Pelodiscus sinensis: one gene and its partners. The protein of the gene in region 1 purifies or fractionates together with the protein of each later gene. This does not show direct contact. Links are inferred from orthologs where the notes say so. Each region holds a gene or a part of one and is shown in the gene's direction. Other genes may lie near its edges. The genes, in order: CXXC1, WDR82, BOD1 and BOD1L1.

Region 1 (7,562 bases):
GGCCCCGTGCCGCCGTTTCTGTCCTTTGCCCTAGACCGGCTGATCCAAGCCAGCCTGGCCCAGGTTGAGAAGCAGCTGGACTCCCTGCCCCAGGCCAGGGCAGCTCTCAGCCAGGAGAGGATGTTCCTGAAGAGCCAGGAGGCTAGCACGGCCCTGTGAGTGTGGAGCGCCCCCAGCCCTGTGCCAGCCACCAATGGAGCATATTGCATCAGTACAGCCCGAGCAGGATGCCTGGTCCCACCCCTGGATCTGGGAGGAGAGTGAGGGCTAGCGGTTAGAGCATGGTGATTGGCAGACAGGATTCCTTGGATTCTCTCTGTGGCTCTGGAAGGGGAGCTGGGTCTAGTGGTTACCGCTGGGAGCCAGGACTCCTGGGTTCTCCCCTTGGCTATAGGAAGGGAAAGGTGTCTAGTGGTTACAGCATGGGGGGACTGGCAGACAGGACTCCTTGGATTCTCTCTGTGGCTTTGGAAGGGGAGCTGGGTCTAGTGGTTAGCACTGGGAGCCAGGACTCCTTGGTACTCTCTGGAGCAGTGAGGACAGCCCAGGTGCTGGCGTGAAAGCAAACATCTGGGCTAGTGGGGAGAGTGCCTAGGGGCAGCGTGGGCAGAGGCAGAGAGGCAGTTGGCAAGGTGAATGCAGGGAGAGCTGTTTCCAGCACAGCCTGCCTTGCCGGGGGATGGCTGCTGTCCATCACCGAGGCGGCTGGGCTGCTCCATGCTTTCTATTGTCTCCAGGCAGCTGTTCCAGCAGGAAAACAAGAGCGCGACTGAGCATCTGGAGGCAGCGTCACTCCGGCACTCAGAACTGCAGCAGAAGTACAAGAGGTGAGCGTGGGGGCAGGCTGGGAGCCCAGACCCCTGGGTTCTAGCCTGGCTCGGAGGGTGGGACCGAGGGGGTTAGTGCAGTGGGGCTGGGCGCCCCAGGCTCTGACTGGTGTGTCCAGGAAACTCCCCTGGCCAGTCCCAACCTGGCGGGGTCCTTTCCCCCTCCTTCCACTCTCCCTGTGTTCCCAGAGGGTTCTGGGATTCCTCGCTGTCCAGTGGCTCCGGGCCCCCAGAAGTGGCGGTGAGTCTCTGCTGGGAGGAAGGACTCTGCCACACCCCTTGTGCAGTGTAACCCTTCCTCTCTGTGACGGGCGCCGCTGCCCTGGCGATGGGCCCAGCCAGGTGCCCCCCTTGTTTGATAGAACCGTTATTTCTGGTCCCTTCCAGGCTGGCGGCCGAGCTGGAGGCCCAGCAGGTGAGGATGGCGGCGACAAAGGGAAACTGTTGACAGGACTCTGTGCTGCCAAAGGGGCAGGGCTTGGCTGGCGAGTCCATTGACCGGCACATCCGCACGTGGCCAGAATTCCCCCAAGAGACAGACAGACAGAGAGGGGTGTGCAGGAAGGACACGGGTGCAGGGGCATGTTGGGATGGGGAGATGGATGGAGAAGTGGGGAGAGGAGAGACGACAAGGTGGGGAGTTTAGAGGAAGAGCTGGCAGGCAGGAAGTGAGTGAAGACTGGCAGGCAGGAGGTGTGCGAGGGCTGGCTGGCTGGTGGGAAGTGTGCGAGGTGTTGCTGGGAGATGTGAGAGGTGTGGCTGGCTGGTTGGTGGGAGGAGTGTAAGCCATGGCTGGCTGGTGCAAGGTGTGCGAGGCGTGGCTGGCTGGCTGGTGGGAGGTATGTGAGGGCTGGCTGGCTGGTGTGAGGTGTGCAAGGAGTGGCTGGCAGGTGCAAGGTGTGTGAGGCATGGCTGGCTGGTGGGAAGTGTGCGAGGCGTGGCTGGCTGATGGGAGGTGTGCGTTGTGTAGCTGGCTGGAGGGAGGTGTGCGAGGGCTGGCTGGCTGGCGCAAGGTGTGCGAGGCGTGGCTGGTGCAAGGTGTGCGAGGGCTGGCTGGCTGGCGGGAGGTGTGCGAGGCGTGGCTGGCTGGCGGGAGGTGTGCGAGGGCTGGCTGGCTGGTGCGAAGTGTGCGAGGCGTGGCTGGCTGGTGGGAGGTATGCGAGGCGTGGCTGGCTGGTGCGAGGTGTGCGAGGGCTGGCTGGCTGGTGGGAGGTGTGCGAGGTATGGCTGGCTGGTGCGAGGTGTGCGAGGCGTGGCTGGCTGGTGGGAGGTATGCGAGGCGTGGCTGGCTGGTGGGAGGTGTGCGAGGGCTGGCTGGCTGGTGCGAGGTGTGCGAGGCGTGGCTGGCTGGTGGGAGGTATGCGAGGCGTGGCTGGCTGGTGCGAGGTGTGCGAGGGCTGGCTGGCTGGTGGGAGGTGTGCGAGGTATGGCTGGCTGGTGCAAGGTGTGCGAGGGCTGGCTGGCTGGAGGTGTGCGAGGTGTGACTGGCTGGTGCGAGGTGTGCGAGGCATGGCTGGCTGGCGGGAGGTGTGCGAAGCGTGGCTGGTGTGAGGTGTGCGAGGGCTGGCTGGCAGGAGGTGTGCGAGGCGTGGCTGGCTGGTGCATGGTGTGCGAGGGCTGGCTGGCTGGTGCGAGGTGTGTGAGATTACAGTGTCTGCTTTCCAAGTTCCTGCTGGTGCCCACCTCCGCTGGGATGCTCAGCAGTCGCTCACACTCCTTTGGCCGTGCTGGCTCCCTCAAGATAACTGGTGGGGCTGAGTGGTCCCTTTGGTGGGACCCACGGCCCTTCCCTAAATGCCCAGCAGTGGGGTGGGCTGGCTCCTGCAGCCATTCCTGGGCCAGAGTGCTCAGGGCTGGCTCCGTCCCTCGCTGTTGGGGTGGGATCCAATGCCTGGTGCCAGTGTGTGTTCCCATCCAGCTGTGACCCACCGTCCTGACTGGGGGCACGGTGACCCCCCCAATCTCCCTCACCTGCTCTGCCCCACAGCAGGGAACTGGGGGCAGTTCAGCCAGCATGGAAACAGCTGCCTAAAAGCCACGGCCGCTCTGCAAGCACCCCAGCTCCTAGAGCGGAAATCGGCCTGGAGTTACGTCGCCTCTGGACACAACCGTCTCCTTGTGGTGAATAAAGACTTCCTGCTTACGCCCCTGCTGTGCCCGGTTATTGGACTCGGGGCAGGGGCGAAGGGTCCGGTTCTGCGGAGGATGGGGGTCGCGTGGGGAGGGGCCACGGGGAACTAGTCTGCTGAGAGAGCTTGTTCGCCTGCGAGCGAGCGAGTCCGTCTGTCCATCCATCTGCTTGTTTGAGAGCTCCTAAATGAACGAGCTAGGACCCGCAAATTCGGTAGGCGGCTTCCTCTTCCCAGAACTTAACGCAAGGCCAGGACAAGGGGACGTGCCCGGGATGCGACAGTTTTCCAGAACATAGAAAGGGAGGGGGCTGCTAGCAGGGACAGTTATAAGTGTAATGACCACAGGGGGGCAGCAAGGGGCCAGCGATGGGGACTGGGGCAGCAGCGGCTCCGGGGAATCCCACCCGGCCAGCATGGTCCCCACCATGGCCAGTCCCGGGGGGGCCACCGCCCAAGCAGTGAGGTCTCCGCCGGTTCCTACGCCCCATACGCCCCAGCCCTGAAGGACCTACCTGAGCAATGCTGGGTAAATCTTCTAGTATTTAATAACGGGCCAGCAGGAGACCGTCTAACCGGATCCCGTGGCTGGAAGTTGAAGCTGGACAGAGTCAGCCTGGGAATAAGGCATCCGTTTTGAATGGGGAGAGGAATTAGCCAATTCCCCAAGGAGCATGGTGGATTCTCGGCCTGGCTCTCAGCTCTGGGAGGGAGCAGTGGATAGCAGATGGGATATGGCTGTGTTTGGCCGTGCACATCTGAGTGGTGTATCCTGTGGAACTCCTTGCTGCAGGGTATCAGGGAGGCAAAGAACAAAGGTGAATTGAAATAAGTGAATTTCACATGGGAGACCACGAACAGAAGCACCCCCCCAGCTGGGACATGCACTCCTAGTCTCCAGACTTCGGACACTCGGCGCCCACGGCCTGCTCCCTGGAAGGTGGGGGGCTATGGTACGCGGTTGGGGAGACACTGTCCTGCATGCTCACGGCTGCGTGGAGCGCGGGTCCCAAAGGGGCCTATGGCAGCCAGGGGAAGTTGCAGGAGGGCAGGCACAACCGCAGAGGCTGCCAGGAGGGGGGCAGCGTGTGCAGCTGCGTTGCAGCGGGGCTGGGCCACGGAGCACCAGGGGTGCCCTGGAGCCCCCATGCCCTCCAAGCTGGCTGGGCCTTGTGTCGCTGGGAGCCAGGGCTCCTGGGCCCTCCCCTCCCCAGACAGTGGCCCAGAGTTGGGATCCAGCCCTGGATCTCCAGCCCCTAACACTGGCTGACTAGCCATCCATCTAGCGAATCTGAGTTTGATTCAACCAGCCTTGCTGTGCCAGAGTCAAAGATGGCCGCCCCCTCAATGCTGCCAGTGACGAGGCGCCGGAGCGGCCATGTTGGAGCCTGGCGCCGAGGTCGCGCTGATGCCAGTGGGCGTGGCCGGTCCCCGCTCCACGGGGTGACCATATTGGATACGTTCCCCCGCCTCTGGGACGTGGGGGCGGCCATCTTGGAAGCGGGCCGAAGCTGAGCGAGGGGCACGCCAGAGGCCGCAGGGCGGCCATCTTGGAAGCGGGCAGATGGGCGGGCTGCCGGGGGAGGGAGGTTTGCGAGGGCGCCTTTGGCCAGGGTTGGAGAGTGACCCCGGAAGCGGAAGTAGCCGCCCGGGGGGGGGGGGCCTGTCGGGACTTCCTGGCCAGGAGCGCCTGTTGTCTTGCTTCCATCCACAGCAAGGGAGAGACCATGGTAAGGGGCGGGGGGGCTGGGAGCCAGGACTCCCGGGGGCTGGGGGGGGAGGGGCCAGGACTCCCCGGGTCTGGGGGGAGGGGCCAGGACTCCTGGGGTCGGGGGGGAGGGGCCTGGACTCCTTGGGGGAGGGGCTGCTGGTTGGGGGGGGATCCAGAACTCATGGGGTCTGGGGGGGAGGGGCCAGGACTCCCGGGATCTCGGGGGGGAGGGGCCAGGACTCCTGGGATCTCGGGGGGGAGGGGCCAGGACTCCTGGGGTCTCGGGGGGGAGGGGCTGCTGGTTGGGGGGGGGGGAGCCTGGACTCCCGGGGTCTGGGGGGGAGGGGCCAGGACTCCTGGGATCTCGGGGGGGGAGGGGCCAGGACTCCTGGGGTTTCGGGGGGGAGGGGCTGCTGGTTGGGGGGGGGAGCCAGGACTCCTGGGGTCCCTGGGGGGAGGGTCTGATGGTTGGAGGGGTTGGGAGTCCTGAGTTCTCTGATGCCCTTTCTGCCCCCCCCCCCCCCCCAGGACAGCGAGTTCTCCGACCCGGAGCTGGCCGCGGTGGGCGAGGAGTCTAAGTCGGAGAATGGCGAGAACGCCCCCGTCTACTGCATCTGCCGCAAGCCGGACATCAACTGCTTCATGATGTACGGAGACCCCGGGGAGGCGAGGGGTCGCTCCGGCGCCTGGGTCCCCCTGCCTGTGTCCTAGGTTGCTGCTGCTGGGAAGGGGGCCGGGTAACTCCCCGCCCCTGCAAGGGGAGCCCCAGGAGGCACTTGGCCCACGGGCTGGGCAGGGGGTTGTTTCCTGGGGCAGGCAGGGCGGGGGGAGTGGGGCAGGGGCTTGCACAGGGAGCGCTTTGACTCTCCCGTCTCTCCCGCCCCTGCAGCGGCTGTGACAACTGCAACGAGTGGTTCCATGGCAGCTGTATCAACATCACGGAGAGGATGGCGAAGGCCATTCGGGAATGGTACTGTCTGCAGTGCCGAGGTGAGGACGGGGGCGGGGCGGCGCGGGGAGGGGAGGGGGGCGGCACCCCTGGCCTTTCTGGCTGTGATGTGCGTTCCTCTCCCCTCCGCAGATAAGAACCCGGCCCTGGAGATCCGATACCGGCACAAGAAATCCAAGGACAAGGAGCGGGAGGGCGAGCGGGATCGGGCGGAGAAAGACGAGCTGAGGAAGAAAGCCCAGGAGCTGGCCCTGGATCAGAGCCGTGGGTCCAAAGTAAGTGCCCGGGAAAGGGTGCTAGGTTGGGGGTGGAGGGAGCCGGTGGGATTCTGTCCCATGAGCCCATGGGGCTGCGTTGCCAGGGAACTGAGCGGCAGGGTTCTAAGAGCAGCTCCAACCACCTTCCGGCTCCAGTTGCTGCCCGTCCCCAGCGTTAAGGGGCAGAGTTAAGGGTAAACAACCTGCAACGTGGTCGGATTTCCTTGGGCAGAGAGCTGCGCCGGTGTTGCCCTGATGCGTGGCCACTCCCCAGAAGTGGCTGCGTCTCGGAGTTGGGCAATCCGTCCCGTTTGGAGTGGCAGTGCTCCCTTCTCGTCCGTTGAGCCCCCAGGCTCAATGGAGGGATGATAGGAGTTACTATAGAGAACTGGGTATCTGGCTGGTGAGTCTTGCCCACATGCTCAGGGTTTAGCTGATCGCCATATTTGGGGTCGGGAAGGAATTTTCCTCCAGGGTAGATTGGCAGAGGCCCTGGAAGTTTTTCTCCTTCCTCTGTAGCATGCGATACAGATCACAGCTGGAGGATTCTCTGCATCTTGGGGCCTTCAAAGTATTTGAAGGCTTCAATATCTGAGATATAGGTGAGAGGATGATTCTAGGAGGGGTAGGTGAGATTCTGTGGCCTGCACTGTGCAGGGGGTCAGACTAGACGATCATAATGGTCCCTTTTTTAATGGGGAGCAGGTTTAAAACTAATAAAAGAAAGTTCTTCTTCACACAGCGTGTAGTCAACCTGTGGAACTCCTCGCCAGAGGAGGCTGTGAAGGCTAGAACTATAACAGCGTTTAAAGAGAAGCTAGATAATTTCATGGAGGTTAGGTCCATAAAAGGCTATTAGCCAGGGGATAAAATGGTGTCCCTGTCCTCTGTTTGTCAGAGGCTGGAGAGGGATGGCAGGAGACAAATCGCTTGATCATTGTCTTCGGTCCACCCTCTCTGGGGCACCTGGTGCTGGCTGCTGTCGGCAGACAGGATACTGGGCTAGAAGGACCTTTGGTCTGACCCAGTACGGCCGTTCTTATGTTCTTATGTTATGTTCTTCTGACCTTAAAGTCTAGGAGTCTATGAAACGGGCCTGCCAGGTTCCTTGGCCCATTCTCAGACCACGGTTCTGGAGCATGGGCTGGTGGGGTGAGACCCGTGGGCACTGGGTGAATTTCCGACCCCACCTCATTGGCTGTGGCACTGCTACAAATACAGCTGTGGACACTCATCTGGCCTCTTAAGTCAGGAAGTATTCTCCCTGCTCGCCAGCTGGGTGTGAGAATGAAAGAGTCCCGGGAGAGAGACCCCTTGGGTTTACGCTGTAAATATCCTCAAATGCCTGCTCCCGGCACATCCTGTGGTCTTTCCCCCTCCCCCCGGCCGGTCTTGGCATCCATGATTGGGTTGGGTGGCAGGTGGGGTGTCAGGTATCAATTTAGGAGCTTGAAAATCCCTGAGTACGTCCATGGGGGAGCTGCCATGATCCCTGCTGAAAATTAGGGGCTGAGGGAGTAGGGGGAAGGAGACGGGAAGTCAATGGCTGAGCACGTGCTCCAGCTGACCGAGGCTAGAGCCATCTCCAAGCCATACGCTCGGGGCGGAGACAGCCCTGCGGAAGAGCTGGGCTGTCTGATTTCCAGGGAAATGTCTCCTGACTGGAATAGACCCTGGGTGGGCTGCTCT
Region 2 (7,874 bases), on another chromosome or scaffold:
TACCTCTGTGGATCTGAGCCTATATAAGTGCAAAAGAGGCACCAACTGAATGTTATCAATATTGCACAAGCGGAAGTAATGAAACCTTTGGTACTATCAATTAGCCAAGTTTGTAAAGGCATCGTCCATAATCGAAAGCTGTCATTTTGCTAGAAGATCCGATTATTCTGCCAGATAAATGTCAATTGTGTGTAAAGTGACAGACCAAGTTCCAATAATCAGAAAGGAGAAAAAAGAATAAAAGGAGAGTGACAAAATGCCAGCTGATGACTCACAGAGTTATACAGCTCTGTAACTTGGCTAAGTACTGTAGGCATTTAAGTAAATCACTTCTGATGGTATTGATAAATCATCCTTTTGGGAGATAATTAAGGCCTTAGTCATACAAATTACAAGATGCCAGGGGAATCCCTTTCCTTTGCCCCATTAAAAACTTGATTTCAATGGAAGTTAGGAACCTAAAAGTCTTTGAGGATCTGGGTCTTAAAGCTGAAGAGGATGTTTGCATCATTATTTAATAATTTCAGGGTTTTTAACAGGCTTTTCAGAGAGTGGCTGACTTAGGCCACTTCTATATGGCAAACTTACACTGGTCTAACTGTGTCACTCTGGGATTTGAAATATCCACACCTATAGACCAGGCCCTCACTCTGGGGGAAGGTCGGCTTAAGGTACACAATTCCAACTATATAAATAACATAGTTGGAGTCGACTTACCTTAAGCCGAGCTTTGATACTGTCCTCACAATGGAAGGTCAACAGGAAAACGCTCCTGTTTTTGCTTAGCTTCCCTTATTTCTTGCAAGTAGGAGTACCAGTGCTGACGGGGTACCCCTCTGCATTTGAATAAGTGGGTCTTTACTATTGCAAAAGAGAATATAAAATTTCTTTTGCAATACTTCCCAGACAGAATGTCTTTGGCCACAGGGAGGCAATAATGTTCTCAAAGTTGAAACAAAACCGCGTGCCAAACAGAGGATGCTAAAGGAAAATATCTGTTACAATGATGTTTGAGGAGATTTTAGTAGCATGCAGGTCCACAAATGGGCAATCTCACTTGTGGCCACTAGATGGTGATGCAGCCTTGCACTTTTCCATTCTCTGGATTATCTGATTTTTTTGTTTTTACCTCATATGGCTCTCATCTCAATTAGATCAGGTAAATGGGGTTTTGCTTGTGTTTACATTTCTTCTTGTGAATGATCGTTCTCCTGCCCCTTGTCCTGTTAGTCCTGCTGCAAATGAAACAACACAAAATCAGGTTTATGAGTGGTAGAAATATAGGGTGAAAACCAGAGGTGGGCAACACAAGCCATCAGTACTTAATTTACCTGTGCATCCACGGTATAACTGTTTGTACTTGCCATTGGCCATGGATTTCCATTCCTGGCCACTGAGCTGTGGAAAGCAGCATAGACCAGGATGCTGCTGCCTGCAGCTCCCATTGGCCGGGAATGGCGATCCGCAGTCAACGGAGCTGCAAGTGGCCGTTCCTGCAGAGGCACAGGTAAATAAAGCTCCAGTGGTCCGCCAGGAGTTAACTATGGCAAATCACATCAAGCACACAGGTCGTTTATTGCCTATGACTGGTAAAAAATGCTGTCACCTATGATGGCAGAGATTTTCAATCAGGTGGCTGGAAACCATGAGAGGCATTAGACTGTGTGGGGCCCAAGGCAGAAAGTTCAGAGCCCTGAGCCGTGCTACCGTACATCTAAAACCTGGAGCTCCTGAGTACCCTATGGGCAGGAGCCTTCAGTCCCCTTCCTCCCACACAATTGAAACCCTGAGGCCCTCCTACTCTCTGAGTTTTTATAGCATGTATGTATGGGGAGGCACTCAGAAAGAAAAAAGTTGAGAACCCGTGACATCTGACCTATTGTTAGGCCACCTGAATATCTCCCTGAAATATCAAAAGAACATTAAATACATACAAATCCCAAGATAACTGGTTGTGTTAAGGGCTTTAAATACACAGTCCTATTGCAAACACATAGAGGATTTATTGATAAATTCCTACTGCCTCATGGGAATCTCTGAAAATCTCTGTAGTTCTCTTGAAACTATTCACCTGCTGACATGCACCTTCAGTGTACTGTTTATAGGGATATTTACATTAAATTTAGATTTTTGCTTCTTAAAAGTTCCATTTTTACTCCTGCTGCTCATCCCCCTGTAGTCCTAAATCTCTGTGACTTTACCATTGCTTCTACAATAATTAACTAATAATACTGTAAAAAAAGGACTGTAGATGGGATACTGTCTCAGCTGACACCATTTCTTCTTTATACTTTACACTGTAAGATCTTTGGGATGGGAACTCTTTGTTATTTGTACAGTGCCAAACACAGTGGGGACCTAATCCATGACCAAGGGCCCTACGTGCTACTGTAATACAAACAATAAATAATAATCCTCCTTTAGACTTCTAGTCAACTCTCTGCCTTTGAAACTCCTCATACACTGCACTCTGAAATTCCTAGCTGAAGTCAACACAATAAGAGTATCTGATGTGATCAAAAAGACTCCTCTTCTATTTCCTGCTTCCAGTGTTTGGGATTAGAATGTTATGCTGTTTCGAGTTTATAATTTTCTAAAGGCCTGATTCTGGCCTCATGCTGGTAAAAACCATGAGTAACTCCTGAAATCAATGGACTTGCATTAAAGCAAAACTGGGAAGAGATTAGAATGAGGTCCCACTTATTTTAGAACTGATGGATGAAGCCCAGAAGAGAAAGCAGTTCTAATGTAACAGTATTTAAACAGCCCTGCTGAGAGTGTGAAAAATGGTTGTGGGTTTGAAATGTATTTGCAATGTAATGCAAATGCCAGAGGACAACAAACTACAAAAAAGGCAAAGATTCTGTTTTTATACAAATCACCCCAGTCAAGAAAGTGATGGGAATGAAATTTCTAAAAAACTCATAATACTTATTGTCTGCAGATTTCTTTGTAGTTTTTTGGATGGTGTGAGTGGCTCTTCCAGTGTTTGGGGTTGCTGGTGCTAACAATTCTAATTTTGCAGCTATTGCACCCTCACAGTCCCACATCCTGATTGCAACCCCATTTTGCATGTCCCAAAAGTTAGGTCAGAAATGTGTCACCAGAACTTGAGTATGTCACATGACTTACACAACATTACATTAGAAAGTGATTTGTTTTTCCCTGGCATCACTATTTGCATCATGTCTCAGAGGAGTAGTGGTGTTAGTTTGCATCAGCAAAAACAAGGAGTCCTGTGGCACCTTAAAGAATAACAGATTTATTTGGGTATAAGCTTTTGTGGGTGAAAACCACTTTGTCAGAGGCATGGGGTGGAAGTCACAGAGCTTAGGAGATTGATATACTAAATCAATCAATCAATCAATCAATGTCTGTGATTTCCACCCCATTTTTACATACAAAAGCTTATGTCCAAATAAATCTATTAGTCTTTAAAGTGCCACAGGACTTATTTTATTTGCATCATGATTGTGATAGCAGTCTTGGAAGTACTAGAGGCTTTGTTCAAAGTCCACAGTGGGTTTTAGATCAGACCCTAGGAAAGAGACAAACACTGTCTTTTCTGTAAAGGAGAAGGAAGGAAAATAGAGTGAATAAGTGTAAAGATCACAGAGCGATACTAGTCCAGAATATTTTCTCTATATAAATCAATTATAGGGAACATCCTACCCTCTGAAGAAACTTCCCGCTGCAGACTTGCCAGCTTTCAACATAGTGGCTGGAAATGACATCATGCCAGTAGTTTGATGCCTCTTCTTTCCTTTGCATGTTTTCCTTAGGTAAACAAGAATTACATCAGTTTGAAGTCCCCTCCCTTACTTTAAACAGTTAGTAGGAAAATAATAGCAGACTGATATGTCTGAAATGTAACAAATTAGTAGGAATGGAGCCCCAATGTAATTAGGGTAGATCACAAATTAAACTGAGCAGTGATTTAAATAAGAAGTGCAACTCCCTGTCCTTTTCAGTTGTAGATCTCAGAGTACTTCATGAAGGTGAATTGCTATCATTAAGCCCTTTTTACAGAGGAGGAAACTAGGCTACAGAAATGGCCACTTTTTTCCTAAAGAAGGGTGCCTGTATGTTTGGACCCTGACTTCAGACCCCAGGGCAATACTTTCTAGAAGTGCTTAAATGCCTGCAGCTCCCACTGATTTCACGTAGGCTCCCTGATACCAGTAGCAACCTCTGAATATGGAGGCCTGTGACTCTTCCAAGGCAGCGAACCAGCCTGCCTCCTGAGCTCCAGAGACAAGGTGGCTGAAGTACTATCCTCTGTTGGACCAACAGCCCTGCTGGTGAGAGAGACGGGAACCTTGTTGGAGGAGGCTGCAAGGTTCCCGTGTTGAGAGCCAAGAGCCCGGTGTCCAGGCTTGCAGGTTAGTGGCCAGCTTTAGGGCTGCATTAGTACTGAGGAGAGGGCAGGTTAGTGGCCCAGGGAATAGGGCGGGAAGGGAGCTCAGTGACGCGGGCCTAGCTACTGCTGTACGACCCTGGGCCATTCCTCGCAGGCGGCCTCTCCTCTAGCGTAGCTTCCCCACGGAGGGGCTACTGCAGCCATCACACGTCTGTCCCGCCCCGGGGAGGGGGGAGAAGTAGGGCTCCCGCCACACACAAAATGGCCGCCGGGGCCAGCCGGAGGTGGATGACGTCCCCGTCCGGAGTCCCACAATGCACTGCTGGTCCAAGTCCCCATCCCGAGGCCCCCCGCCTGTCGGCATCCCACAATGCACTGCTCCCTCCAGCCCTCCCGCCTCGCCAATCCCACAATGCGCTGCTCCTCCGCTCTCCTCTCCTCCGCTGTCTCACAAGCCCCCCTCCTCCCCACAATGCACCGCTGCCGCCCCCTCCTCCCCCCGCGGTGTCCCTGTAGCAGGAAGATGGCGGACACAATGAGCAGGAGCCGCCTCTCCGCAGCCTGAGCCGGCCCCGCCTGAGGGCGCTGCCCGCCCGCCCGCGCCGAAGCCGCCTGCCCCAGTCTCGCGTGCTCCAGGCCCCCGCCCGCCTCCCCTTCGCCGCCGCTTCCCGGGCCCCAGGCCGCCGCCCGGCTCCCTCGCTCCCCGGCGTCCTCCGTGCCCGGCTCCCGCTGGGCCCCGGCCCGGCTCCCTCAGGCCCCGCTCGCGCCCGCCGCCCCTCCCCCGCGGCATGAAGCTAACGGACAACGTGCTGCGGAGCTTCCGCGTGGCCAAGGTCTTCCGCGAGAACTCGGACAAGATCAACTGCTTCGACTTCAGCCCCAACGGCGAGACCGTCATCTCCAGCAGCGACGACGACTCCATCGTGCTCTACGACTGCCAGGAGGGCAAGTGAGTGGCGGGGCGGGCCGCCGGGGGCAGGTCGGGGAGGGGGCGGCCTGTGGGGGAGGGGGGGCATCTGCGGGAGCCTCCTCCCGTGCAGGTAGGTGATATTTGAGCTGCCCGGAGAGCTGCTTCCCGGGGGCTGGGCGAGGGCAGCAGGAGGGATCGGTCCCCGGGGAATATCCGCCTGGCCAGGTGAGGGAGAAAAGGCGGGCTCAGGAAGGCCGAAGAATAGCTCTGGCTGAGCGCTAAAGCTGCCAGCTAATGGTTGATGCGAAAGACTAGGAGGCGGGGAAGGCAACCACCTGAGTGTGCAGAGACGAGTCCCCTGCGATGCTGATGCTCAAGTTGTTCCCCAGGTAGAAGCTGCTGAGTGAAACTGGCATCCTGTTGGGTTCGCTTTTCTTCTGGCACCAAGGCCGTTGGTCGCAAAAGTGAAGGTGGCAAGAGATTCGGATGTGTTTGGCTGTGCTGCTGTGGGGCAGAGCTCTGAGCAGTAGTTGAAAACGTTGTAATTGTGTGTCTGCAGCCTAGGGAACCCTCTCTGCTTTTTATCTAACGAGCATATAAAACTGAAAAGTTAGAATAATTCGGATTTGCAAATGGAGCGTCAACAGCAGGGAGAACAAGGTTATTTTTATTAGATTTTGCCTTACATTGTGAAAGGGCACTGGAGTCCATCTACACTAAAACTTTCAGTGTTACTGCCAGCAGTGGAGACGAAAGTGTGGAGGTTCACAGCTTCTAAATGTAGCATTGTAGTTAAGAAGTCTTTTGCTTCATGTTTGGATGGTTACTATTTTTACAACTATGAGGCTAGAATTTTGTTTAAAGAGATAGCGATGCAGCCGTGTTAGTCTGGTGTAGCTGAAACAAAAGACAGAACTATGTAGCACTTTAAAGACTAACAAGATGGTTTATTAGGTGATGAGATTTCCTGGGCCAGACCCACTTCCTCATTCATGCTTAAATTTGACAGTTTATGTATGGGTTTAAACAAATACTCTAATTATCTCACCCATTACAAAGATAGCTTCCCTAATTATCACTCCTAATGTCATTACCTCACAGAAACTTCCCCTATTATCACCCCTATGTCACTACCTCACAGAAACTTACCTTCCACCCTCACCCCCATTCTGTTCTAAAATTTGATTTGTCAATTTCACATGCGTTCACTTTTTTTATTGTATCACTTTGGTATATATGGTTGTGCTGATTTTCTTCCACATATTGATCTGAGGAAGTGGGTCTGGCCCACGAAAGCTCATCACCTAATAAACCATCTTGTTAGTCTTTAAAGTGCTACGTAGTTCTGTCTTTTGTTTAAAGAGAGTTAAACTTCTCAATTAATTGATGGCTTAGGACTTTTCACTGATCACAGAAATCTTTCCATTCTCTGAGTGGATTTTTCAAACTTTCTCAGATTTAGTTAGTACAGTTTATAGGTACATACTTACAGATGAGTTTATATATGTCCAACTTTGAAGTTAGTGGAGTTGCCCTGATTTTTCTTTTGAGGAATATGCCTACTGTTGACTACCCATGGTCGCAGACTCATTTATTGATGAGTCTTTCCATTGAATATCTAAGTCAGAGAGCAAACATTTGATTTGGGCATGTTAAGTGCCCTGTTTGGCTTTAAATGAATTGGATAAAATAAACTGTTTTGATGTACCTTTTAAAATGGCAACCCGTTCTAGATATAACTTTTTTAATATTTATTTTAACTTCATAGTTGAATATGGCACACTATACATGCCCGATAACTTTAAAAACTATTTGGCATTCCACTAAAATACATTGCCAATATTACGTAGCAAGAAAGGCGTTTACTGTGCTTTGTGTAAACCCCTTTTGAGTAGTTAGCATCTTTACCTACAAGCTAGAATTAAAATGTGCATGAGTCTACTCTATAGTGAGAGGAATGCAGATTTTTTCAGAAACTGAACAAATATGAATTCCGACAAATTAGAATTTTTGAAGCATAATTTTGATTAACGGGAATGAATAAAATTCTTCTGGGAACCTTCCTTGGAGCATGCAGTAGGACATCCATCCTAGGAATAAATAATAGAAATGTACAGAACACTTGAAAAATGCACTACCTGATTCAGTATAAGAAAATTGTGTGTATATATACATTAATCAGTTCTAAATTATCATGTTTTGGGAACAGGACAACTATAGATGGAATACATGATGCATAGAGTCCCACATCCCTGTCTGCAAAAATGAGTCATGGATATCCTCATCCATGGATGCAGATACCTGTGGATTTTCAGGGCTCTAATAATTCACATACTGTAAGACTCATATCAAAGTGAGTCAAACTGGAAGTCCTAAATTATTTCAGGAAAAAATATCCTGGTGCAGTTACTCAGTTTTTCTCAAAGTTCCACTTTCTGGTGTGGCAGCAGTGTGCCAAATATTGTGTGTGGTGGTGTTATAGGTTCCAGAATTAAGCATGGAGTATCACAGAAAACAAAGCTATGGAGGGGTAGCTGTGTTAGTCTCGATCTGTAAAAACAACAGATATATTTGGTTATAAGCATTTATGGGTAAAAACCACCT
Region 3 (7,867 bases), on another chromosome or scaffold:
TCCTGTTAACTGATTAAACAGAGGTAGACAAGGGGGTCACAGCCAGGCTGGAGCAGCCCCCTTGCCCTGCGTGGGCCTGCTCTAGCCCACCACTTAATCAGAGAATCATAGAGCTGGAAGAGACCTTAGAAGGCCATCAAGTCCAGCCCCCTGCCCAAGGCAAGAACAATCCCAATTAAATCAACCCAGCCAAGGCTTTGTCAAGCCGGGACTTAAACACCTCTAGGGATGGAGACTCCACTACTTCCCTAGGTAACCCATTCCAGTGCTTCACCACCCTCCTAGTGAAATAGTTTTTCCTAATATCCAACCTGGTTCACGTCCCTACGTGGAACTGGGAAATCAGAGGCAGCAAGGTGGGGGGAGCAGGAGTCAGTGCTGGGGGGGGGGGGGAGGGGGAACCAGCTTTGGTTCCCCCAGCACCATCTCCGTGAGGGGAAAGGGAGGAAGAGGCTCAGCAGGAGCAAGCCGGGACAGCTTCAGTTCTGGCTGGCCCCAGGTCTCTGTCCGCTGTGCCTCTGCTTTTTAAATGCAGTAAGAGCTGCCTGGCTCTTACTACATTTAAAAGACAGAGCTGCAGATGGGGACCCGGCACCTCTGCCAGGCAGCTCTTACTACATTTCAAAAGCAGAGGCGCAGCAATCAGGGACCCAGTGTGAACCAGGACTGAAGCAGTCCTGGCTCACGCCGGGTTCCCCCGCTGTGGCTCTGCCTTTTCAGAGCAAGAGCCAGGTGGCTCAGTCCTGGCTCATGCCACCCCCAGGAGCTAACCCCACTGCAGCACTGCAGTTTAAATGTAGGAGAAGCCTGGCTGCCTGCATACTTGACTCCTACTACATATAAACTGCAGACCTGCAGTGGGGGTAGCAATGGAAATTCCATCGACTACTCGATTAGCTAATTGAATGGTACTTAACATCCCTGGATACCACTAGAGTTCTGTTGGAGTAGAGCCCCACCAGGTCACAGAGCTGTGCTTGGAGCCTACTCCCAATGCGTAAGAGACTCAGATTTTCTCCCACACACAGAGATCTGTTCAATGACCATTCAGTAACTCAGCAGCATACGCCAGGGAATTTTACGCAAATGAAAACAGAGAGACTGTAGGCAGGCAGGAGGCAAGTTCCCCAAACTGAAATTTGTTTATCACACTCCCTGCACTCCTTGCAAAGAGCATCATGGTTTCCTTAAATGATCATGAGTCAAAATGCCCAGGGTTTTTCCTGAATTTAAACAGTGCCTCTAACAGCACAGCGGCTTTTGGGGGTGGGCAGGGTGAATTTCTACATGCATCAGCCTGGCTGAACAACATACAGCACTGAGATCCAATAGTCTGAAATAAATTCCAGCAGCAAAGTAAAAAGATGATTGTAGGAAACAAGACAAAGAAAAACACACATCACAGAACACAGAACTGAAGTCACTAGGGATGTTAGCAGCTAGCCAGATAATCATTTGACCAATAAGCTATTGTTTATTGGTTAACGGTCCTGGATAACTGCAACAACACCCCTCCCCCAGCATGTTCTGAATTTAAAATTCAGACTGGCATGCTGGCTCAGCCCTAGCCCGCCAGTCCAAGTTTCAAACGAAGAGCACGCATGGGAGCGGTCTGCTGCCCAGCGCTACTGCCTCTGTATCAGATGCTGAAGCAGCCTCTGTCCGTGAGGAGCTTGGAACCCCCGCGGACAGGGGCTGCTGCCACCCCATGCTGCTGCTTCTGATACAGAAGCAGCAGCCCAGGTTGGCAGGCAGGAGCCGGTCTGCACAGGGAGCCAATTTTTAAACTGGCTCTCCTTGCAGACCAGTTCCCACCTGCCACCCCGCACTGCTACCGCTGTATCAGAGGCAGCAGCGCGGGATGGCAGGGGGCTCCCCAGGAGTGGGAATGGGAACACACTGGCAGCTGCCCCCACCCATGGGGGCCAATGAATAATCGTATAACCGCTAAGAATTGTTGCGGTTACACAATAACTAAATTAAACAATTTCTAACATCCCTAAAAGTCACATGCCCAAATATGCATGGTTCAAATGAACATGTAGTTCAGGTATGGCAATATTTATTGCTAGAAATAGGCACTCTTTCGATACTAAAAAACAAAGTATGCTTTATTATTGCCATATGGAGTAAACATGGTACTTTAAGGATGGCATAGCCTTAACCTATGCCTGTGGAACTCACTGCAGCAGGATGATAGGGCAAACACTTCGGTAACTTTTAAAAAGGAGGTTGATATGTTTATATGACTAAGGATAGGGCCAGCAGTTGTAGGAATTAGAACAAAATTACAAGGGATCTCAAGCTTCCTGTTTCAAAGTTAATCACTGGAGGCAGTGAGAAACTGATTGCTAGTGGTGGTCAGGAAGAAATGAAACCCTGTGTGGATTAATTTTGTATGATTAAATGTCTTGTGGGGAATTTTATACCTCATTCTGAAACACCCAGCATTAGCCAATGTCAGACACAAGATACCAGATTCAATGGATTGCTTTTCTGCATAGGAAGGACTCGCATGTTACAGTTCCCCTATTTGTAATGCAGAGCATTGTATAATATGCAACATGCTGCAGTGCATATTCTTTCCAATGTACATCTCGGTGCCTATAAATGCTGGCTTTTTTCCTCCTCATAGCTGCCAGATGGCGTGGGACAGCTTATGCTGCTTTTCAGAGCTGCTGAATTTTAATCAGATGAAAAGGACAATGCATCGCATGCAGAATTTTGCTCTCCCACCTTTCAACAACTACTACAACCCACAGAAAGATATGGATATGGGGCTACTCCCCATAGTGTACTTGGGATGAGGACATAATTGTAAGAATCATATTCATCTAGCCATCCCATTTACCTCCCCCCAAATTGATTCCATTTTATTCTGGCTTTAAGAAAGTACGTAAATGAAAGAGACACACTGGATAGATATGTTCTCTTTTGGGGTGTATGTGGGCAAGGGGACTGATTCACAAGTATCTTCTTTTAAGTCGTTTTGGTAGCAGAAGTCTTGACCAGGTACAGGAGATAAAATAGTTCAATGTCCATGTCAACTGAGATATGCTAATCACCAAACGTGGTGCACTGGTAGTAAAGCAGAACTAAAGTTGCTCAAATTAGTAGTCAGACTCACTGTGCCTGGGAATGTTCAATATATTAATGCAGGGCCAAATTGGAACCAGACTCCTGGTGAGCCAGAGGTGCTGGCAGGCAGTAGGCAACTCCTTACATAGCCTGCATACAAGCTGGCCAGCAGCAGAATAAACAAATCACCCCACAAGATAGCACATCATAAGATAGGATGACTCAGAAAAACATTGGTAGGTAGGAAGGTATGTTAAATGCTGGTGGTTATTTTGGTCCAGTACCCAGTAAATAAATGTCCACGCTGGCCCTTGTTCACACTAAGAGGAGAAGCCACAGGAATGAATGGCCCACTGGCACTGAACTTCATTGCCACTAGAAGTAAAAGTGAACCAAATTCTGCTATTCTTTTCACTAATGTAAATCCAGAGTAACACCATTAATGGTCATAAGTTTATTCTGGATTTATATTAGCGGTCCTCTGTGCAGAATTTGCCCCTAAAACTAAATCTACAAAAATAGTTTTGGTTATTAGGGCTGCATAGGGTTGCCAGGTGTCCGGTATTGACCTGGACAGTCCGGTATTTTTGCCTCCTGTCTGGTAAAAAAATTCAGAAAATACCCCCGCCCCTTTTTTTGGTAGTTTTGGTTAAACCATCTGGCAACCCTAGGGCTGCATTTTAAATGCAGTATGTATGCGGATATGATGTACCAGGTATCAATTACCGGGTATGGGGCCTAGTGGTGGGGTAGTCTTCCACTTTTAGAGAGACATATAGAAAATAAACTGTTATTGCTGTTAGGGGGGCAGAGGATTAGCTCTTTGAGTAACTTACGAGGGTACTAAAATACATTACAAATCAGCATGTTTCTTCAAAAAAAAAAAAAACTTAAAAAACAAGGCACCTTGTTCCACTCATCTGAACTGGGTTGTGCCCATGAAAACTCATGATACTATATATATTTTTGTTAGTATCTAAGGTGCTACAGGACCACTCATTTTTTAAGTTTTTTCAAGTTAGACTAACACCACTACCCCTCTGAGACTGTTAAACATGTTTCTTCATAGAGTTGTTGGACACTGACAGGGAAACTAGATAGGCACCCAGAGATCAAAGGGTCTGCATGTCCCACTTAAAATCAGTGAAACAATAGATCATGAAGACAAAAAATATTCCTTATCCCAACTATTGTAAAGCAGGATCAGCACCGCAAACCTGCAGCCTCTTGTCAATTTTTGTTGCAGTGCAACAGAGGATGATTGCCAAAGCCACAGCCTCCCCCGGTGGCCAAATGCGCGCATTACACTCCCCCCTAGAAAAGTTTCCGGCGTTGCGAGCAGTCAGCCTGGCACAGGGGAGTCCCCCAAACCCGCACGCTGCGTCGGGCACGCAACAGGTGAGGAAGGAAAAGCTGCCTAGCGGGTGCGGCACTAGCCTAGCAGGTTCACTGCCCTGCTCCAGCGCAGGGAGCGCGCCGCACGGGGCCCTGGGGAGGGAGCTAGGGGAGCGGGCCGCCCCTGGAAATACCTGAGCCGGGTCTCCGGGAGCAGAGCTCGGAGCTGTCTTTCCCCCGCGGGCCCAGGCAGGGGGCAACGAACTCCCCGCGCACATGTTTCGAAGACATAAAAACGACAATTCCCAGAATGCATTGCTCAGCGCCCCACGGCCTTCCGGGCTGGCGACGCGGTGCACGCTGGAAATCGTAGTTTCTTTGCTCAGCCCAAAGGCTCAAGTCCTATAAGAGGCGCCCTAGAGGAAGGACTCCCTTTCCCATAATGCAGCGGGACGGACATACGCAGAATGTGGCGCGCCGTCGGCGGCGGCAGCGGTGCCGGTGGCACCGGGTGAGCTGGGAGCGGCGGCTGCTGAGGCCTGGCTGCGCCGGGCAGCAGGCGTGGGGCATGTCGGAGAGCGGAGGCGCCGGCGGAGCTGCCCCGGGCGGGGGAGGCGGCGGCGCTGGAGCTGGGGGAGCAGCGGGGCCTGGGGGCGCGGCTGTCGGGGCGGGGCCCGGCGCCACCGACCCGGCCTCGCTGCCCCCCGGGGACGCTCAGCTCATCGCGCTCATCGTGGAGCAGCTCAAGAGCCGCGGCCTCTTCGACGGCTTCCGCCGGGACTGCCTGGCCGACGTGGACACCAAGGTAGCGCTGCAGGGGCCTGGCCCCACCAGCGCCTCCCCCGCAGGGGCACCTGGGAACGGGGCCTGGTTCTCTCGGCCGACCGGGGTACCAGGGCCGCGCTTTTCGCCTGGGCACGTTCGCACTGCTCGGGACGGAGACGCCGGGCGCTCTCTGACCCTGCAAGGAACAGAGGCTGCCCCTCACTCAGGCTCCAGCGGCTCTTCTGGGACTGCCCTGCTAACAGGGGCAATAGGCTGATAGGGGCTTTTCCCCGCCCAAAATCTCTAGTGCGGTCTCGCTACTTGAGCTCCACAGCTTTGGCTTGGGCTCTTTGGCTGACATGGGTACGAGGGTCTGAGTGTCTCATCACCTTCCTGTTTCAAACATCATCCCCCAAGTTCTGGCCTGTTGTCTGACAACCATCCCCTAGTTTTTCAGACTCGACCCTGAAGCTTCTGCTTCAGTCACCTACTTCATCTTGGGTTCCAACTTTCTTTTGGGGAGCCTGGATCTATCTCAAACCTGCAGCCAAGAGTGACCTTAACTAAAATATACAAGTGTTTCATGAAGCCCAGAAGATAAACTTTTCAGTTTCAGGGCTTTTTAACTTTCTACTATACGGTACAAGGTTTCCCACTCGTGTTTTTTCTGACCCCTGCATATGCTTATCTAATTTCTGTGTCCATGGTCTTCCTGAGAAATGGTAGAAAGCACGACTGATAATTCAGTGAAAGTCACTATTACCCAAGTCATTTCTCACTAGTGCAAGATTAGGGGATGCAAAAGCTGCTGGGCTTTCCTGCACTTGGATGAAACCCAAAACTTCCACTAGTCAGCACTTCAGTCAGTGAAAGTACTTTTGCAGGAATTGGGTGCAATCCCCACTGTTATCATCCTGAAGGGGTGTATGGTAGCTTGTTGTCTTCCTAAGCTTTACCTGAGACTTCAGCAGAATGTGGACATCCCTTCCTGTAATAAACCATTGCAGCATTTCTAAATAACTGTCTTGTTCCACCTTATAGGTGCTTGCAGTTTATCAGTGGGTGAAGTGATTCATATGTGTACATAGCTTGTAAAGCATTTCAGAGTCTTTTAACATAAAGTGCTACTTAGAATGAATACCTTTAAACCTCTGTAACCATATATCTACTTTTGCAATGATGTCACTTGTTTATTTGCAATTGCAACTATTTTTGCTGAAATGTTAACATGTAGCCTTTCTGACATGTATGTACTCCTAGAGTCATCCACCCAAAGTGTCCTCTTTAAAGCTATAGCTCCCTTTATGCTTACAAAAAAGTACTAGAATTAATACTGTTAATGGGGAATAGTCTGACAACAAGGGTGCAAGTGTTCTGGAGCCAAAGGAACCAACATTGGGGTGGGAAAATCTTAATAGAAATTTTGATTTCCCCTCTAATGCCACTGAGAACATCAGTATTGATAACCAATTACTGGTGTGTCTGAAACCACCACATTATTCTGTATTAAACCATGAAACTGCCACCTATATGATCGGAACAGATTTCTCTCAACAAACCTAAATGGAATTTGAACTGGCCACTTAAAAGGGATAGGCTCTGTAGCATATTGACAAGAGTATCATTTTAATTTTTGATGATGTTCCTTGTAGTGATTCTGGTCTTGCTATAAGACCATTTGCCACCTTTTTGCCCTTGCCCCACATTAGTAACTGGTATTCCCATACGCAGTAGGAATGTAAAACGGGGTTTAAAAACATAACCATGTAACTGCTAAAAATCTTAGTGGAGGCCTCCCTGGGAGCAGGGCTGGCAAAGGCTTCCCACCCCGCTCTTAGGGAGGAGGAGGCCTTCCTGCTGCTGCGAAACTGCCTCGCTAGCAGCAGGGCTGACAGGGGCCCTGGCAGTGGGAGCCAGCATGTAACCTGCAATGTGCCGCCCAGGTCAGGCCCACTACAGGCAGGGGCTGGCCAAGGAGTCCTTGCCTGTAGTGGCCCTTGTGGGGCTGGAGCATCCCATTGCCTGGGCCGATAGGGAACTGTTCCAGCCCCTACCGGTTAACCATTTACGTCCCTAATACTCAATAACATTTCCGTTTCCTAAAGTCTGAAGAACAGGAAAGGTAGATTTACACAGAGCATTAAATAAAAACCACCCCTCTCCACTTTCTTGGCTTTCCAGTTTGCATTAGGGTTACAGCAAGCACATCTGTTTGTTTATACTATCGTCAATTTTATCTAATTAAAGTGTCTTGTAGGAACTTTGTGGTTGGAAGTCATATTAGAGGCCTTCTTAAATATAACTCTTGCAACTGTTCGCGTCTGAGCGCCTGAATGGAATGCAAATTACCTGTGCACGCAAAACACAGGTCTAGCTATTGCAGTTATAATACACTTGAACATAGGTTGGGGCCTGAACTCAATTTTTGTTTTTCTTCATTTAAATGATTGCTCTGGGGTAGAACTGGGAATGAAGGGTTTAGTATGCAGGCTATCCCAAGGAGAAGGGACTTACCCCAGCCCTCTCTCACCACAGTAACTAGGGCCAGATGGGAAGTGCCTCTCCATGGCTTCTGCAGTTCCAATGGGCACAGCAGGGAGAAGGATGCAGGTGCCCCAGCTGAGACAGGTCCAGGTTTGTCTGCCTCCTGTGCTCCCCACCCAGAACGAGGAATACAGCAAACTGTGTA
Region 4 (7,275 bases), on another chromosome or scaffold:
TTGCTATGCATATTTCACCATGATAATATTTTCCAGCAAGTTTTTAGTTTTCAAATGCTACATCATAAGGCATGTTTATACTAGTATTATTACAATGGTGTGTAAGGTGTGAATATAAGGATACATTCAATCACAATTCTATACAATTAAGCCACAGGAATATTGTATGTAAAACCCTGAATTCAGTTACTGTATTGTTATTTCTTTATGTCTCTTTCCATTTCAGAGCAGACCATACAGTTTCTATAGTAAACAAAGATTTAATGTATACAAAAACCACAAAATGGCATACAGCATTGTAAGCAGTATCTGAAATATTGATGAAGACACTTTAAACAAAAGCTGTTAGGTAGGACAGTGACCTTTGTTTCTTATCCAGACTTTCCTTCCACTGTCACTTTTACACACCAAGTTCTCAAAAAATAATTTGTACTTCTCTGCTGTGGCTGAGTGAATATACTTCTGATCTTATTCCAGAAACATTTTAAAGCCTTTTCGTCACTGCTAAAACAGAAGGGCTTTGTCTTCCCTGCGCATTTAGTTCAGAATAGCTCGTGCACCGTAATTACCCCATGTTATAAAAGCAAAACAAAAACTCACCTTTTGTAGCACTGTGGGAAAGGCCTAAGGACTAGATTTAAAAAAGGAGTGAAACATTCCAACGATCAGTGTCACAATCCCTAGCTTTTAGGCATCAAGTAAGGGGACGCCGTTATTTTAAAATAATTTTACTAGCGTGTACACAGCCAAACTGCTATTTCAAAATTAATTTGAAATAGTGGAGCACTTATTTAGAATTTGGTAAACCTCATTCCACGAGGAATAACACCAAATTCTAAATAGCTATTTCGAAATAAGTGCTGTGTAGAAACTTATATCGAAATATGGGGCCTCTGGCCTTCCCAAGGTGCCTTGGTGGCCACTCTAGCCTCAACCAAGAACACTCCTCCCCTGGAGCCCTTAAAAGGGTTGACTCTGGCCACAGTGCCTGTGCCAGCTCCAAGCCTGCCAGCCCAGAACCAGCAGTCACTGCTCCTGACGCAGTAGTCCCAAAACATGAGCCCGCAAGCCACTGGCAACCAGCCCTCCACCGCTCCTCAGGAGCAGTCTGCCAGTTCCCAGGAGCCTGCCAGGGCACGGAGAAGGCGGGCGCATTCCTGATCCAGGGTGGAGATCATGGACCTTATTCAGGTTTGGGGGGATGCTCCCAACGTCCATGATCTCCGCACTAGATGGAGGAACGCGGCCGTCTATGGCAAGATAGCTGCCAGCCTGGCCACCAAACGCCACATGCAAACCCAGGAGCAGGTTTGCATGAAAATCAAGTTGGTCCGGTGAGACCCCCAACCCTGAGTCCTGAGCTACCCCTCCCCCTTCTTCCCCTTGCTTCCCCCTTCCAGATTCCTCCTCCCCTCTCGTGCCTCCTTTCCCCAGTCTCACCAGAGTTTCATTCCCCCACCTCCCACCCCCAGTTTTTTAAATAAAGAGAGTTTGTGTTCATGAAAATACATGTATTTTATTTGACATCAGGAAGGGGGGTTAGGGAGGGTTAAGTGGAAGGATGTGAGGGAGGAATGAGGCACAAGCCACCAGTGGGGCAGACCAGGGAGGCTCTTAGTGGCTCCTCAGGGTGGAAGCTCTCTCACATGGCCTCCTGAATGCTGACAGCCCCCCGATGGACCTCCTGGATGACAGCCTGCAGAAAGTGCAGCCAGGCTCACAGCAATGCATCCAAGAGAAGCACCAGAGTGCCCAGGGGGAGCTCTGGCTCCATGGCGCCGAGTGCTGTAGTGTCCCAAGTGAGGGCAACCAGAGCACGCAGAGACAAAATGCTTTGCTGTCCCTCATTGAGGCTGGCAAGCAAGCAGGGAAAGCTGAGAACCAGCTCCCCAGACCGGGGGTGGGGGGGAGGGCTTTAAGCACAGGTCTCGGATAGCCTCAGGAAGCAGCCACACAAAGTAACTCCTGACCTGATGTCCTGCTGGACCTCGTTCCGGTCGGCTTTAAATGCGATTCAGTGTGCACTCAGTGTGGATGTGCTATTTCAAAATAGCAAGACACTATTGTGAAATGCATTTTGTGAGTAGACGCGTTATTTTGAAATAACTTATTTCGAATTAACTATTTCGAAATAAGATATTTCCAAATAATGCTGTAGTGAAGACATACCCTAAGTCACAGGAATACCACTGTGATTCTCAAATCCCGAGTTAGGTGCCTAAGAATGGATGGCAGGAAGGGGTGGCTATGCCTCCCTAAACAGCCAGGTGTGGCCACACCTGCACTAAGCCCCACAGCATCCACTTTGGGTGTGCTGCTGGGCTCCAGTGGCTAGGGGCATGCTGCCCACCCTTTTGGGGTGGGGGACTGTATTTTCTCACACTTCATTTGCATAATCTCTTCCGATGCTTTTTGCGCAAGACATTTTTGTGGAAAAACTAGATGTGTATATGGATCCATTTTGCACAAAACCTTTTGCACAAGATCCTTATGCCTCAGAAAAGGATATCTTGCGCAAAAGGGGGTTTTGTACAAAACGGATCCGTCTACACAGCTAATTTTTGCGCAAAAACCTCTTGCGCAAAAAGCATTGGAAGAGATTATGCAAATGAAGTGCAAGAAAATGCTAATGAGCGCTTCATTTGCATTGCTTCTTCTGCAAAAAAAAAAAAACCCTAGTGTAGACATACCCTTAAGGCTGGAATAGTTAAGCTAATGGAAGAGCTTTCTCCTTCCATCCGCCCTACAGCAATTACATTAAAGAGTTTACAGGGGGGCAGTTCATTGCTACAGTTCCCAATGCTGTAAACTGTCTGTTGTACCCGTAGTCTGAGACACAAATCTTTCTTTTGGCAAAGGAGTAGTATGAGCCACACAATCAGCACCAGAGCTGTGAAGCAATGAATAATAATGATTCATTTAATATCTCAGTGATTAGTATCATCTCCGTCCTCAATACTAAGGAAACATGAGTTTTTACCCTGGGGTAATTACCATGCATTAGCTATTCTACTGTAAAAACATGGTAGAGACAAGACACTTTAGTTTCACCAGAAGACAAACTATGTGAGGTCAGCACCATGCCCTCCCTCCCGTGCAATCAATGCAAAGGAGAAACAGGATACCGTAATTCGTTTAAAAAAAGCAGTAAACTTGTCAAAATGAAGAACAACACTAACATGTATTATACTGAAATATTAAACATATACAAAATACTATGAAATTAAAATATGCATAAACAAGTTAGTAGAAATATCAAAATTTATGTATGCAACAAATTAAGTAATAAACAGTAAAGTATGCACTTCGATGTTTGCAGGATGGCAAATTACTTACAGAAATAAATGTTTAATGTTTTCATTTACAAAGGGAAGGGATAAAAGTCACATCTTACTTACTGGAAGTTCAAAAAAGCACTCAATATTAAAGAAATGTACTATTGTTTTACATATATGGATGCTTTGAAAGAGCTAACAGAAAAAGTATGAAGCTAGTACATCTGAAAGGCTCGACAAAAAAGAAAATTTAAGACTCTAAAATGTATTTATTTATTTTAACGTTATGACTTTGGGATGCATATCTCATGATTTTTGAATACCTCTATTATATCTATATTTAGAAACAATACAATAGAAATTTATTTTTTAGGATAGTCCCACTGCGCCAGATTTTTAAAAGTATTTAGCCGACTAGTAGGATTTTCAGAAGCATCATGACACTTTTAGCCTTTAAAAATCTGGCATGCAGTGATTTTTTGGGAACCAAATTTGACACACAAATAGTAATGGGATAAAAACAGGGTGCTGGATAAGAAAGCAAAACAATTGACCAACACGATCTTCATTGATTTATTAAAAGAAACTGCAATGTGACATCAACCCAGGAAATCAGCAGGTGTTGATAAGAATAAAGGTCCCAAAGAATAAAATGGTGTTTGACAAAAACTACTGGCACGATACGGACAGTGCTACCCCAGAAACACTGAGACGGGATGGCTGAAGCCTACTAGCAGCTATGAATATTTTTAAACTGATTAACTGCACCTAAAGTATGATCTGAAGGGCACAATGACATTCGTGTGCCTAGAGTGGACGACGAGCCGCCTGGCGCAGCACAGGGCCTGGGAGGCGGGAGCCAAGACGGACTGTCCTGCAGGGGAGAAGGGGGCAGCCCCTCAGCCTCATCCCCAGCGCCCAACCCCCGCCTGACTGTGCCCCTCAGCCCTGCCTCGGCTGCCTCCAGGCGCCCGGCCAGCCTGCACCATCCCGTCGGGCACTGCCCAGATCCTGCCCCCCTCGCTCCCCAGGGCTCCTGCGCGAGCAGCAATTGCCAAGCCAGGGCAGCGGCTTCAGCAGCTCTTACTGAGCACGCGCACGTCACAGGCGCATGCTCAGAACCGGCGCACAGCCCCGCCCCTTTCTCGTTCTCAAGCTCAGCCGGCTGGTAGAGGCGCTGCCGCCGCGCGCAGCAATGGGGCTGCGCCCGGGGAGCTGGGAAGGAGGGGCCGGAGCCGGAGCCGGAGGGCTCGGCTCAGATGTTCCCGCCCCGGGAGCGGGGTGAACAGCCAGTAGCAACGCCCATTCCTCTGTGCGAATCAGCCCTGCCCCTCTCCGCTCGTTGTCTCTCGCTTCCTCCCTCCGTTCCCTTTCACTTCCGGGGTCAGCGTTGCCGCGGTTGCTGCTCAGTAACCAGCCCCCTGCCCGGGGCCCGGCTAGAGGAGCCGGTTGCCGCCCGCGCTCTCTGAAGACCCCGCTGCCCCCATGGCCAGTAACCCGCAGCCCCAGCCCCCTCCGCCGCCGCCCCCTCCGCCGCCCCCACAGCAGCAGCCGCCGCTGCCTGGGGCTGCCGGCGGGGGCGGCGCGGTGGAGCCCGAGCTGGTGTCCGTGATCGTTAATCACCTGAAGAGCCAGGGGCTGTTCGACCAGTTCCGCCGCGACTGCCTGGCCGACGTGGACACCAAGGTATGGGCGGGGGCAGGTCTGAGGAGGGGGCGAGCGCCACGGGGGCCCGGAGCTCGGGGGAGGGGAGGAGGGCTGTCTGCCGAGACGCGCAGCCGCTCCTGCCTGGTGAGCGTTGCCCGGGGTGGAGGCAGGGCTGCCCTGGACACGGAGCCGGCGGGTCCTCGCAGCCTTGCAGAGACTCCTGGCTGGCTCTAGCGTCCTGGGAATGTCGTTCCCCGGGGATACGTCGCAGCAGCAGCTCAGCGCGTTGCCCCTCGCACTAGACCGCTGGCAGGGTCCTTAGCAGCAGGTTCCTGCCTAAGGAATGAGCTCTCAGGGATCAGTGAGTGACTTCAGCAAGATCGGGCCGTCTGTGTAAAAGGGACTGGTCGCTCCCGTTTATGTAGGTTATACTGTATAAACTTTTTCCCAAGAGGGTAATAGAATTCTTTTCGGTAAATAGGTTTTGGTATATGGGCATTGCCTATCAGAGGATGGCAATCCTGATATTTTTATTGATTCGGCAGTTAAGATCTAGGGAGCTTTTTAAAGTTTTTCAGCCCTCTCATTAGGAAAATGAGTTTTAAGCAGCTTTTTTAAATATCTGATCTCACCTTTTGCCCCTTTAGCCTGCTTATCAAAACCTGAGACAACGCGTTGACAACTTTGTTTCCAATCATCTGGCAACTCATACTTGGAGTCCTCATCTCAACAAGAATCAGTTGAGAAATAATATTAGGCAGCAGGTTCTCAAGTAAGTCATAAGTTGAGTTAATATTCTGCCGTTTAAATAGATACTCGTGCTCTAGTGATAGGTGAATGGAAACCTAGTGTTAGTCTGAATCTGCGTAAATAACAAGAAGTCCTGTGGCACCTTATAGACTAACTGATATATTGGAGCATAAGTTTCTGAGGGCAAAGACCCACCTTGTCAGATGCACCTGATGAAGTGGGTCTTTGCCCACGAAAGCTTAGCTAGACAAAGAAATTCCACAACTTCTATGAAGAGAGAATGTTACCTTTGTTACCATTGTATCCGGATATAAATGCTCGTCACTCTTGTGATATGTTGTAATACAGTGTTGAATGTTTCCTGTTTTGCATCACAACTTTGAAGGAGTCTCGCTTTGTTGGAATATTGGGTCTGCAGTCTTTGCATACAAGGATTCTGGCACTACCACTAACTCATAAGTGGTTTATTCAACAAATTACTAGTTGTTGTTCGGTTTTCTGGGTTAAATCTTGTGTTATTAATAGGATTGTAGATATGAAAATTCATGTATGTTGCAAGCACAAGTTAGTTATTCAGAGTCATATTCACAAAACAGAAATCCTTGAACAGACTTGATTTCTATGGACAGCTAAAAAGTTTTGTAAAGACTGCTGGTAAATGGTCATCTTGAAATATCTTTGAATAAGCATTTATGGTGAATCTAATTTGTGCCATAAACACATTTACATTAATATCCTCTGCCTAGTGTTGCACATTACCCTAATATGAGAAGCCGCCTAATGTTACTCCAAACTAATTTGTATAGATAAAGGTTGCCATCCTGTCAATTTTAGGGACAGATCTGAAACTTGGGAGCAAATGCCACCTGTTGCATGGTTAGTGATAGGTATCAACACTTGAGTATAGAGGAAATACAATTATTTTGTAGTTAAGACTTGATAACACCATAAATGGAGAAATGGTCTCAAGTGAAATGTAGCCATAGGCAACTCATTCTGTTTTCTAGAGCGTGATGGACAAAAGGTAGGCTATTAGGTAGCTAACTGGTTCAATGCTGAAGCTATTACATAAAGTAAATTAAGAATCTGAACTCCACTGTTTAGTAGTTGCAACATGATGCCATTCTGAGAAATTCTAACATTGGGGTTATGAAGACAATAGATATAGTGCTGTCACATTTCTTGCTACCTGTTCTGCATAGAATGCTTTCCTCAAACTGATTCATAAAGATAACTACAAAGGGGATCTGCAAGTTTATGCTGAAAGAGAATAAAAACAAATCCATTTGCTGCAGGCTTTTTGTCAGGCATGAAATGTTTATTCAGATGTGTGTTAATGGGACATTTTGAGCACTATCTAGATCCACGGTATCCAACAATCTAGCTACTAGCCACATGTGGCTATTTGGCCGTTTGAGTGTGGCTAGTTCACTATAGCAGTAGCCATTACAGTGGCAACTGCTTCAGAACTGGTTGGACACCATGGACCTAGACACAAGTCAGGTAGGAGTGTTCCTGAAGCAAATGCAAACAATTACTTTCTAGGAACTTAGAAAGTTTATGGAAAGTTGTCTGTGTGGAGGGAAAACACTTTTTAGATAAA

The links.
Region 2: the proteins of CXXC1 (region 1) and WDR82 purify together in Homo sapiens (affinity purification with western blotting; 7 studies listed by BioGRID and IntAct, with this or other methods). This does not show direct contact. The link is inferred for Pelodiscus sinensis from reciprocal best matches to the Homo sapiens genes CXXC1 and WDR82.
Region 3: the proteins of CXXC1 (region 1) and BOD1 purify together in Homo sapiens (affinity purification with mass spectrometry; 4 studies listed by BioGRID and IntAct, counting the BioPlex papers as one, with this or other methods). This does not show direct contact. The link is inferred for Pelodiscus sinensis from reciprocal best matches to the Homo sapiens genes CXXC1 and BOD1.
Region 4: the proteins of CXXC1 (region 1) and BOD1L1 purify together in Homo sapiens (affinity purification with mass spectrometry; 5 studies listed by BioGRID and IntAct, counting the BioPlex papers as one, with this or other methods). This does not show direct contact. The link is inferred for Pelodiscus sinensis from reciprocal best matches to the Homo sapiens genes CXXC1 and BOD1L1.

What each region holds. Positions count from the first base shown.
Region 1 is NW_027465846.1:162,960-170,521, forward strand, and holds the start of CXXC1 (CXXC-type zinc finger protein 1), read left to right. Parts: upstream 1-4,555; 5' UTR 4,556-4,683; coding exon 4,684-4,686; intron 4,687-5,195; coding exon 5,196-5,314; intron 5,315-5,556; coding exon 5,557-5,657; intron 5,658-5,748; coding exon 5,749-5,891; intron 5,892-7,562. Other genes in the region: synaptonemal complex central element protein 1, read left to right, coding at 35-155, 738-827, 1,215-1,242, 2,815-2,859. UniProt on the Homo sapiens protein: Transcriptional activator that exhibits a unique DNA binding specificity for CpG unmethylated motifs with a preference for CpGG.
Region 2 is NC_134721.1:42,423,552-42,431,425, reverse strand, and holds the start of WDR82 (WD repeat-containing protein 82), read left to right. Parts: upstream 1-4,858; 5' UTR 4,859-5,148; coding exon 5,149-5,309; intron 5,310-7,874. UniProt on the Homo sapiens protein: Regulatory component of the SET1/COMPASS complex implicated in the tethering of this complex to transcriptional start sites of active genes.
Region 3 is NC_134727.1:18,732,501-18,740,367, reverse strand, and holds the start of BOD1 (biorientation of chromosomes in cell division protein 1), read left to right. Parts: upstream 1-4,863; 5' UTR 4,864-4,981; coding exon 4,982-5,218; intron 5,219-7,867. UniProt on the Homo sapiens protein: Required for proper chromosome biorientation through the detection or correction of syntelic attachments in mitotic spindles.
Region 4 is NC_134715.1:108,497,131-108,504,405, forward strand, and holds the start of BOD1L1 (biorientation of chromosomes in cell division protein 1-like 1), read left to right. Parts: upstream 1-4,265; 5' UTR 4,266-4,760; coding exon 4,761-4,961; intron 4,962-5,569; coding exon 5,570-5,694; intron 5,695-7,275. UniProt on the Homo sapiens protein: Component of the fork protection machinery required to protect stalled/damaged replication forks from uncontrolled DNA2-dependent resection.